Linked DNA regions of Drosophila melanogaster. Changing the gene in region 3 together with the main gene of any one other region gives a genetic interaction. Each region holds a gene or a part of one and is shown on either strand. Other genes may lie near its edges.

Region 1 (3,830 bases), on a different chromosome or scaffold from region 3:
GCCGATTTCATCGACCTTCCGTTGTTTAATACACCTAAGTATAGATTTTGATTAGCTATCCAGTTACTTACCGACATATAGCTACGGGTGCCCACAAAGGAGTTGGCCATCGAGTCGATCAGTTGACCGGAGACGCCGAAATCACAGATCTTGATCTCGCCGCTGCTATTGACGAGGATATTGCTCGGCTTCACGTCACGGTGGATGATGGCGTGATTGTCGCGCAGATAGCTCAAGCCCTTGAGCACCGCCAGCGTGATCCTGCCGAGAATGGACTCTGGTATTCGACCGGCCCGCTTGAGGATCAGGTCAAGTGATCCACCGTCCATATACTCCATGCAGATACTGATCTCGCCGTCGCTGTAGAAGGCGCCGTAGAAACCGACAATGTGCGGGAAATTACATTCGTGCAGGACTTTCAGTTCGCGCAGGATCTGTTTCTTGATCGCCGGCTTCACCTCCAGATGGATCAGTTTCCTGGCCATGATCAGGTGTGTGTGCGTGTGCCGGACCTTCATCACCACGCCGCCATTGCCCGATCCGAGCTCGCCCAGCTTCTCCAGATCCTCGTCGGACAGCTCGCCGATCTTCTCCTTCTGGCTGAGGAACATCTTGATCCGCTTGCGTTCCGTGTCGCCCATGTCCAGACCCTCCAGCGTCTCTGTCAGCGCATCGATGCTCGTCTTGGGCTTCCCCAGCAAACTGTGTGTGCTTTAATTTAACCTCTTAATGAATTTTTGCGATCCAAAACGAAAATGTAAAAAGTGCAAGCAATGGATGGGATTTGAAAGTGGGGGATGGGATGAGGGGCGGGCCGAAGTTTCTCCTAATAATAAGAAAACTACACAAACATACACATCAAATTACATATGTATTGTGTTATGTTATGTTGCCTACATTTTGGTGCTCACAAAAAAATATACGATAAAGGTAGGACTATTAAATTATAATTTCTATTTATCTTCGAAACTGACTTTGTCATCCCGTTAATTAATCCAAAAAGCACTAAAACAGTTTACTGTATTTACTCAGTAAGTTTTTTCTCGCTGTGTACCTGTGCGTCACACGAAAGGAGCACCACCCACACCAACAAACAAAGAGAGAGTACCTGCTCTTTCACTCCGACTGTCTCTTTCTTTCCAGCTGGATGGGATTTCCTTGGATCAATTGATGGATATTAATTACCCACCTAACTCGCAAAACTACAGGATTATCTTACCACTGAGTAGGAAACCGAAAACGAGGAGTGGAAGGGGAAACAGCGAGGGAGGGGGGATGCGGTGTTATTGGAATGGGTGGCCTAAAAACCAGTCAGTTATTAAGGATATTATGTATAATATTTACTCTGTGCCCGAGGGGGTTTTGAATGGCGGCGTCGGCGCCACTGTGGCGGCGGCAACAGTTGCCTCCGTATTTACCGGCGGCAGCACCAGATTCAGCTTGTTCTTCGACATCTTACTATATATAATATATATCTCTCGATACCGTTATCCGTTACCGATAAGTTAAAGCACACAACAATAACAACAACAAAAAAAAACTAATAAATGAAACAATACAAATAGAGAGTGTTCCAGTGGAAACAACAACAAAACGCACTACGAACAGCGGCGTCCGACGAACGGCTGAAGGGTGTGAGGGGCGAGGGGCGTCGGCGAGGGGGCGTGCGAAGGGAGGCCAAGTGCGAATGTTTCGTTTTGTGTGTCCAGCCGCTGGTAAATTTGCACCAATTCCTCGCGTTGCGCTTAACTTTAACACACCCGAACCGAGCACACGAACAGCAAACGGATAGTTAATATTATTTTTGCAATAATCAGCCAAAATCGGCGACTTTTGGGTTTTTTTCGCAGACGGTGCGGTATGGCCAGATGTCGCGATTACCAAATACCGTTAATACACTCCTACGACTAAAGCGGCCAATGGTCACAACTTAAATGGAAAGGATATTAGGATTAGATATTACTAATTTGTTACGATGAGGGGAGAGGTATACTTATCTGTTTAGCCAATTTAATTGAGCCAAAACATATCTATAAACTATTCGATACGCTTTTTAAAGAAATTTCTCCTGAGCATTCGCGGTTGATATTTTCATGCCACGCGTATACGGTCACACTCTCCCACCCCACTCATTTTCTTAAAGGGAAAAACAATAACATTTCCGGCGTATTCCCCGCTCTATCTGACCAAAATGAGGCTCCAACGACAGTGCATTGTGGTCAACATGCGATCGGCCATTGTCCTGATCATGATCTTCGTGCTGACGGGGATCAGGAACAGCGAAACGGCCAGCGGTGGCAACCAGATGGACTTATCGGACTCAAAAGGCGATCACAAGGATAACAGCAATGCGAGCAATGGCAATGGAAATGCCAACGATAACGAGGTGTATGTGCCGCCCCTGGTGTCCAGCATGGTGGCCAAGAGTGGAGGAGGTGCCGGTGGACTCCTGGACAACATAACCGCCTACAGCAGCAGCAGCAGTAGCAGTAGCAGCAATGGGAACAACAACATGCTATGCCCGTACGATAAGGAAACGCCCTGTGATCGCCTGCAGTTTCCCTGCATCCGTTGCAACTACAATCATGGATGCATCTACGGCCGGGACTTGAATGTAACCTGCGAGGTGATCAACAATGTCCAGTGCCTGGGCGAACGGAGTTTCCAGCGACAAATGAATTGCCGATACTGCTACCAAACGGAAATGTGGCAACAGAGCTGTGGCCAGCGCTCCAGTTGCAACTCGGCGACGGATAAGCTATTCCGTACCAACTGCACCGTGCACCATGATGTGCTCTGCCTCGGCAATCGATCCTTTACCCGCAACCTGCGATGCAACTGGACGCAGGGCTATCGGTGGAGCACAGCCCTGCTGATTAGCCTCACGCTAGGGGGCTTTGGAGCCGATCGATTCTACTTGGGCCACTGGCAGGAAGGGATTGGAAAGCTGTTCAGCTTTGGCGGCCTCGGCGTCTGGACCATCATCGATGTCCTGCTCATCTCGATGCATTATTTGGGGCCAGCGGATGGCTCACTTTACATATAGTTTAGTTTTACAGGGGTTAATAGGTCATAAGCTAACTTTTCCATTACAGTGTACATAATAACGAATGCAAATATGCAACCATTAGGAATAGCAAGATCTTCTCAAAAACGTGTACATAATTAATTAGGAAATGTATTTTATTAATAATGCCAAAAGTTCTTTTTTGTATCTTTTATCTAGCACAATTCTTTGATCGTATCAATAAATAAGTGAAAGAGAAAATATAACCATCTCTTTCTCGTTCCTGTAAGATCAGACAAATTTGTAAAAATAAATGGTTTGTTTCATTCAGAAGATTTATTTCAATTTCACTAGGAAGTTTCTTTTTTAAAAATTCAATTTGTTTTTACAATATTACTCTAATATTACGAAATCTTGTGCTAGATCTAAATGTATCTTTTGCTTACATTTATAAATTTATATAGCTTATATTATAGAGTTTCCTGAAATGAAATCCAAACTCACCCCTCAACTGAAAGTGACTCAGTCCATGGCGGCCGCCTGCACTTCATCATCGCCATCATCAAACTTAATGTGCTTGCCCAGCATTTTGCCCACTTTCTCGCGACCGCGTTTTTGCTGCACGCGCACCTTTTTCGAGAGTTTCGCCTCGCGATCCTGCTCGATTTTTCGCCAATAGAGCGTCTCCTGCTGGCCAGAGAGCACTTTCAGCTGCCTCTCGGAGCAGTTGACCTGGCGTAGCAGTTCCTCGGCTGCGGCAGGCGTGCCCAAACGTAGTAGGGCCACTTGGTCGCCCTCCTTAATATCCACATATTTAATATCC
Region 2 (3,830 bases), on a different chromosome or scaffold from region 3:
TATCAGCTAGGCTCGGTGGAAAAAAAGATTAGTTAGGGAAAAATTTTGCCACGACACGATTGCACATCCTTACATAGAAGTCGTGTGTAAGTTCCTGCAGTGCCTCATTCAATGAGTTCATCACCTGACCCAGGCCGTCGGTAGCCGCGATTATCTTCTGCACGCCCATGAAGTAGGAGGCCAATGGCAAGATTTCCCGCACCTGGTGTGTCAGCGAGCGATCGAGGTGCGTGTGTATGTCAAAGTCCGTGTCGTATTTGGCCAGGCCAACGGCAGAAATAATTGGCTTCTGAGGCACCAGGAGGCTTTCTCTTATGCCCGTGAGGCAGTGCAGCAGCTCGTCGAGCAGCATACTCTCCTGGCTGAGAAGCGGCATTGCCGCGATCTCTGCCCTCGGCACCTTGTCCCCGTCCACCTTGTAGTATTCCCACAGTAAATGGGTGCGGTACTCATCGGGCACATCAGTTAGCGTCACCAGGTCATTCGGCATTGACTTTGGGCTGTTGCCCGTTTTGTTGGTCACCGAGCGGTAGCCGCTCAAGGATTGATCGGAAACGGCATTAAGCACACGTTCCTTGATCTGTGTGGGTTGATCATTGATTATTTGAAGGGGCCAAGTAATTGGCAGCGAACAGCACACCATACTTAGTCTGCACTCACCACACTTAAGTCGTTGCGCTCATCCTTGCCCGCTCCACGGTTACGGTCCATTGGGCCGCGCCTGACAAAGACTACGGGTGTAGTGTCGGATTCAGTGGCCTTTTTGCAATTCACCGGCGTCGAGGTGGGAAAGTCCTGGGACTGGGTCAAGCTAAGCCTGGTGGAACCAGATACGTTTTGCGATGTGGTTAAGATTGTCGAGGTGCTTGCGATTGCCAATGTGGTGGGGACTGAACCGGCTGCGGAATTAACATCCGAAGTCTTGTTTCCGTGCGGCAAGCCCATCGCTGAAAGGCTAGTGGAACTGCTGCTCTCGGAGACTGGTTTGCATTCGCTGTATCGCTCGACGAACACCAGCAGTGCGTACATGGGATCCTTATTCTGCAGAATGTGCGAGATCTCCTTGGTCACCTCTGCGAAGTTGGGACGCTTCTCGCTGATGGACACCAGGACTTTGATCAGATCGCAGGCTGGCAGCCGCCGATCACTAGTGGCCCGAAACTCCCGAATGATGCTCTCCGGAGTTAGGGGCGATCTGTGGGATAAAAAATGACAGTAAACTATGGTGCCAATGGCGGGAAAGAGGCGGTGCAGGAGCAACGGCTAGATCGACTGGCCACCTGTGCACTCAATCCACTTACTGCGACTCGCTGATCAAATTGGCGAGCACACCGCGCAGCGCATGGGGTTTACTCATCACGGAGATGGCAATTTATAGTTCCGCGCTTCTCAATTTACAGTTATAACCGGCAATTGAGCTCTTTTTGAGTGCGCCGCTCTTCTCAATATTTTGTTGTTCTTTTCCGGGTTGCTTGAGTGCCGACTGCAGCGACAGGGTTGTCATCTGTCCTTGTAATGTTCTAGTTTTTTTTTCAATCCTTAGCCGTTTTAAAATCGCAGATGCTCATTTTATTTTACGCGCTTGCAGCAATTTCGGAATCAATTTAAACTGAAATGAGCAGCACAAGCAACTTGATGCAAATTGGCATTTGTTGGTATTTAATTGTGAGGATGTGGTGACACTGGTTGCTGGCGAAAAAGAGGGGTGCGTTTAGCATAGTTTACACTGGACTGGCCACTACTGTAACTTATTTGCGTTAAAGCGTGCAAAGCATTGAAAAAATACAAATTTTGTTAAATGAAAAAAGCTGTACATAAAAAATAAATAAGAAATACTTTCTACCCACAGATTAAATAATTGAAACTACTCCTCTATTATTTTATTCTATCTTAACTTTATATTCTTGTTTAATCAACAAAATTTATATCTGGCAACTGTTTTGATTTTAAATTGCAGGCAAGTGATAGTGTGAATGGCCCATAGAGCAGCGGACAGTGTGACCGTGCCATAAGGGTAAGTGTAAGACCGCACTGCTGAGCGCAGGCGCAGTCCAAATCAGCTGCTTTGCAGCGATTACAGTCGCGTCCCTGATCTTCTGCAGCCGAAATCCGTGGGCGTTGCACCAACACCACCAACGCACTGCACAAACCGCCCACCAAGGACACGGTAGCGACCGACCGGAAGCCGCAGAGCATACGAATCAACACTTCTGGCAAGAGGAAAGGAGCATGTTCCCCCACTTGAAGGGCCATGGTCAGCGGGTCAACCTGCAGTTGCTGCAGGAGGCCGCCTGCCGCGAGCTGCTGCAGCAGCTGGACCGCATTGAGGGTTCCAAGGTTATTGTGCTGGACGAGACCATGATCGGACCGCTGGACTTGGTTACCCGGCCAAAGTTATTCGCTGATCGAGGCATCCGTCTGCTGGCCCTCAAGCCGGAGCTTCATTTGCCGCGCGAGGTGGCCAATGTGGTGTACGTGATGCGCCCACGCGTGGCGCTGATGGAGCAGCTGGCCGCCCACGTGAAGGCAGGCGGAAGAGCGGCCGCTGGACGGCAGTACCACATCCTGTTCGCCCCGAGGCGGTCATGTCTGTGCGTCAGCCAACTGGAGGTCAGCGGCGTGTTGGGCAGCTTCGGAAACATCGAGGAACTGGCCTGGAACTATCTGCCGCTGGATGTCGACCTGGTATCGATGGAGATGCCCAATGCCTTCCGCGATGTGAGTGTGGACGGTGACACTAGCTCGCTGTATCAGGCGGCAGTGGGCCTAGTGCAGCTGCAGCGTCTATACGGTCGCATTCCGAAGATCTACGGAAAAGGAGAGTTTGCGCACAGGGTATGGGAGCACGCCAAGCAGCTGGGCCGGGATGAGCGGACTCTGTACAACGGCGACAAGGGTGTCGTCGATCAGTTGATCCTTCTGGACAGAAGCATCGATCTGCTCAGCCCGCTGGCCACACAACTCACCTACGAGGGGCTTATCGATGAGTTCTACGGCATCCGGCAGAACAAACTGACGCTGCCCGCCGAGAACTTTCCCTCTGACGGAGCCCTTCCCGGAGGCGGAGGCAGTGGCCCACGAGTCGAGGAATCGCAGTCGCTGCTGGGTGACACCGAGAAAAAGACCATCCTACTGCACTCCGGCGAGCAGTTGTACGCGGAGCTGCGGAACAAGCACTTCAACGAGGTCACCAAGCTGCTCGCTCGCAAGGCACGGGAAATTCACGTCCAGATGCACGCCACCTCCCAGGACAAGAGCGTGCAGGAGATCAAGAGCTTCGTCGAGAACCTCCTGCCGCAGCTAATGGCCCAGAAGAAGGCCACCTCTGAGCATACGGCCATCGCTGGCCTCCTGCACGAACAGGTGAACGCGGTGCGCTTCGCTGACGACCTGGCTGCCGAGCAGGAGTTCATGGTCTGCGCAGATATCGACAAGCCAAGCGCCTACATCGAGGACCTGATTGCCTGCAGGGTGGAGTTGAATCGCGTCCTGCGGCTCATCTGCATGCAGTGCCACGCCGCCTCCGGATTCAAGGAGAAGCTGCTTAACCACTACAAGCGCGAACTGGTCCATGTGTACGGTCTGGAAGTGCTGCTCACCATCAGCAACCTGGAGAAATCGGGCCTGCTCCATCTGCAAACAGAGTCGCGGGCTTACAGCGTTCTGCGAAAGGTGAGCGCCAATTCAGTAATCCAACCATATTTAGTTATAAGTTATATAGTTATTTGTGAGTGAATATATGAGGGAATGCTATTTAGGATGTTGCTACATCAAAACATCATTTTCTCTTGCAGACGCTGCACCTCACGGTGGACGACAACGTTGAAATT
Region 3 (3,600 bases):
TTCCTTGTCCTTTTCCTTCTCTTTCTCCGACTGCTGAAGTTCGTTAACAACAGCCTCAAGGCAAGAGGGATTCAATATCAGCAAGAGCATTTGAAGCGGCCAAACAAGAGTCTTGCTTTTCTTGTTTTCGGTTTTAAAGTACTCTACAAAGTCCATCAGGGGTTCCCAGCAGCTAAACGAAACAGGATCAATTAATGTGACTTTAAAAACGCTTGTAATTCCTCTTACGTTGATATATCTCGATTGGTTCCTCGTTGCAAGTCCTGGAACTCTTGTGGATGGTACTCGATCCAGTTCCAAATAGCCTTCTCCAGCGAGTAAAGCAAGATCAAAGGTGGAGCACGCTTCGATCGAAACTTTGTGATGGTTTCTGGAAACGTAAAACGTTGTTTAACCTTTCCGAAATATTAAAAAAGTTAGTTTACCTTGTAGCAGCTTGGTTAGCTTTATCATATCCATATCGATGTGTTGAATTAATTCTATGTCGTTGTAGTCCGGGTTTTCCTCGGAACAGGATGTCAGCTCTTGAATCCTGGCCGATATGCGATTGAACACCGCCGAGAAGTGATTCTGGGACAAGGCAAAGAGCACCTTGGATGCCAGGGCCTTGAGCTGGGCGGCATTCGGATTGCTGTCGCTCTGGACGTCGACAAACTGGGAGATCTCGCGCAGCAGAAGCTTCACATTCATGGCCTCTTCAAAACGTGCTGTGTCCTTGGTCTGGTTGGTCAGACAGCGTTCCAGAGTGGTCAGTATGATGACCAGCGACTCAAAGTAGCAACGCTCTGGCTCATGGCGATTTTGAAGGGCCTGCAATGAAATTTTTGTTTAAGTAATTTAATCGTATCCTAGCCCCATAAAATAAGGCAACATAGTTTAAGGGTTAACAATAGAGAATGGAGTACTTACCGCCTCATTGACCCTCTGCAGCATCTTGGTGAGACCGGATATGACAAGGGAGAAGCGGTAGCGCGATATGTGGATCAGACAGGCCACCAATTGGTCCTGGCTCATCCTGGCCTGCGTGCCATAGGCACCGATTCTGTTTGGCAGCTGAAAAAGTAAACCATTGATTGCTCAATTCCACTTCATTCATGCGGGAACCGGTGTTTTTGTTATTGTTGCTATCTCGCTCTCCCACGCATTTGATTGAGAGCTCACACTGACAGAGCGGGTGAGGCACGCACACTCGCAAGGTCGCTGTGAGCATGTGTGGGGGAGGAAGAGGCAGAGCAGCAGGTACATTTTTTCGCTTGCGAAAACGCAACTGCGGAAAAGCGATTGGAAAACACTTGCCTGATCCTCGAAACGTGCCAAAAGGGCGCTAGCCCACTCGCCTGGCTTCTGGGTCATCTTGTTGTGGTGTTTTAACAGTTGTTTATGCGTTTTTTACTGCATTTCAGCAACTAAATAGGGCAGCTTTTCGTTGAGCTTGGGGAGTGGCAATTGGTTGAGTGGCATCTTTGTTCGTTATCCTTGGTGTTTTTTTCAGTTCCTGAGACGTTCACTTCCTTCTCTTCCAACAATTTGGATGGTTTGGCTTTACAAAACGGGCACTGTTTCTTTTTTTATGGGAATTTTCTAAGGGCTTACAGGCTGTTATTTGGATGTTTATATTGTGTGTGTACCGCCTTCCATTTCTTTCACAATACCGAAACGCTTTTATAAGTGATAACAATTACATCCTATCGATATATCGCTTATTTTCAAATAGTGATGGCATCAGACCAACTAGTACTGAATTCATTAGGGTGACCATAAGCCACAAGTAAATGCGCGCGCTCACAGGAGCGTTTAAAAATTCCAAAAATATTTGGCCTTCATTTCGTTCTATCTCATTTGATGCTATTATTTTATATGGTCTAAGTGTTCCAATTAGAAATATAAATGATTTTTAAAACAGATTCAGTTCAGTAAGTATTATTAGTTTATTTAATGTTGTTGTTAATGCATTACAAATTATCAATATTAAATATTTCAGATGGTTTTGTAGCTTGGGTTTTGAGTTAATTCCGTTTGAGTGTGCCTGTTTGGCTCTGTGCAAATTATACATATTTTCCAGCAATACTTAATGTTTATAATGTTTCAGCATTTCGAGCAGTAATAGGTTCAAATCGAGTTCTATCTGTTGTAATTTAGTGTTGCGTCCAACGTTAGTTAATATTTATTCAATTGTTCTATTATTTTACGGTATAAAGTTAGTTTAGCTAGCTAAAAAACACATGTACAGTCGCATATAGGTATATATATGTATATATTTGGTTTTATTGAAAATGTTTGCGTTATTTTTCAAATAACCCTTCTTAAGCTGACAAAAATTTGAGTTTAGGCATAGGCTTATGTTACAATCGTCTTATTGGCCGTTTTTGGGAAGTGAGTTGGGTACTTTATCCAATCAATTAAAGTAAATAAAAAAGTGCTTTAAAAAGGTGAAAAATTTATATATGTGGAAAATTGTGAGCTTGCGGAAAGAGTTTCTTAAACTGTTTTGTGTATATATTTTTGATTTTACTTTGCATTCGATATATGTACGGTTTTCTCATAGATTTAAATGCAGTTATTGATATTTTTAGAGGGTTCTATTAACTTTGCAGTTTTAAGGAGTGTATACATGCACGTACATAGTTGCTATATTACTTTGTTCTAGCTGCTTAACTGGTATCTTGATTTTCTCTTGTATAAGTGGTATATGTTGGCTGCAATGGACGTTTGATGATTATTCGCTTCGAAATTATAGCATAAAGTGCTTGAAACTTAGTCTGCAGATAGCGCAAGATACAAACAGATGATCGTTGTAAATAGAATATGCTCGTATAACTAGTAAGATTTGTATTTAGCTTGCGTTGTTTCGTTATCGCATTCGATTCGATTGGTTTCGTTCTTACAGCTAAGTTTTCCTTTGAAATTGGATTTCAATGCAGTGCAATCCTGCGTTCGCGTCCTTGAGCAGGCCTGCTAACAATAAATTAGTGCTGGATAGCAGGACGGGCCTTCCCCGCCCCGCACCGCCAGCCGACTAGAGTAATAGACTAAATTTAACAATTCCTTTGGGGGCATCAGATCAGAGACTACAGCTAGGAAATGGGCATTTGTTTTAGATCAGGGATTCAAACGGGTAAACGGGTACGCCTTGAAAAAATCAAAAAAGCTGCTTGGATTTTGAATGTCCTAAAAAGATATTCAAGTGTTTTTGTAGAGCAACTTAAAATGTATTAGATGCGTATAAAAAAATGTAATTCAAAGTAATTTAACGTATATCCTTTAAATATTTGGTATACATGCTTCGGTCCCAGTAATAGCAAATAAACTTAAGTTTCGTTTCGAATCCCCGTTTGAGAGTTGGGTGCTTAGATGGTCCACACCTGAACCTTCTCGGCCACCACACACCAGCTGGCCCGCTCGTAGTAGGAGCTAACGATGTGCAGGCTGGCCACATGGTGGTTGATCAGTGCGTCCAGCTCGCCCTCGCGGAACACATGGTAGTAGCGGTGGTGTGTGCTGGCTCCGCCCTGGGAGGGGCTGTCCAGGGAGTTGGTGGAGCTGTTCGAGTGCTCCAGGGAATCGTTGGAGGGACGCTGCTGGAGATTCGGTGCCTGGTTT

What was found.
Region 1: of Nf1 (region 3) and Dsor1, changing one suppresses a phenotype caused by changing the other (phenotypic suppression), as found in Drosophila melanogaster (one study listed by BioGRID).
Region 2: of Nf1 (region 3) and car, changing one suppresses a phenotype caused by changing the other (phenotypic suppression), as found in Drosophila melanogaster (one study listed by BioGRID).

The regions. Positions count from the first base shown.
Region 1 is NC_004354.4:9,245,423-9,249,252, reverse strand, and holds the start of Dsor1 (downstream of raf1), read right to left. Parts: upstream 1,912-3,830; 5' UTR 1,455-1,911; coding exon 1,345-1,454; intron 712-1,344; coding exon 72-711; intron 1-71. Other genes in the region: amx (almondex), read left to right, coding at 2,192-3,046; Larp7 (La related protein 7), read right to left, coding at 3,530-3,830. UniProt on the Drosophila melanogaster protein: Required downstream of Raf in the sevenless (sev), torso (tor), and Drosophila EGF receptor homolog (DER) signal transduction pathways.
Region 2 is NC_004354.4:19,564,113-19,567,942, forward strand, and holds the start of car (carnation), read left to right. Parts: upstream 1-1,906; 5' UTR 1,907-2,014; intron 2,015-2,070; exon of another isoform or gene 2,071-2,102; 5' UTR 2,103-2,229; coding exon 2,230-3,672; intron 3,673-3,794; coding exon 3,795-3,830. Other genes in the region: Grip84 (Gamma-tubulin ring protein 84), read right to left, coding at 1-6, 74-580, 661-1,195, 1,302-1,357. UniProt on the Drosophila melanogaster protein: Core component of the class C core vacuole/endosome tethering (CORVET) and the homotypic fusion and vacuole protein sorting (HOPS) tethering complexes involved in endo-lysosomal vesicle trafficking and lysosome biogenesis.
Region 3 is NT_033777.3:25,981,045-25,984,644, reverse strand, and holds the start of Nf1 (neurofibromin 1), read right to left. Parts: upstream 1,633-3,600; 5' UTR 1,354-1,632; coding exon 1,297-1,353; intron 1,054-1,296; coding exon 910-1,053; intron 811-909; coding exon 426-810; intron 371-425; coding exon 229-370; intron 173-228; coding exon 1-172. Other genes in the region: fid (fire dancer), read right to left, coding at 3,348-3,600.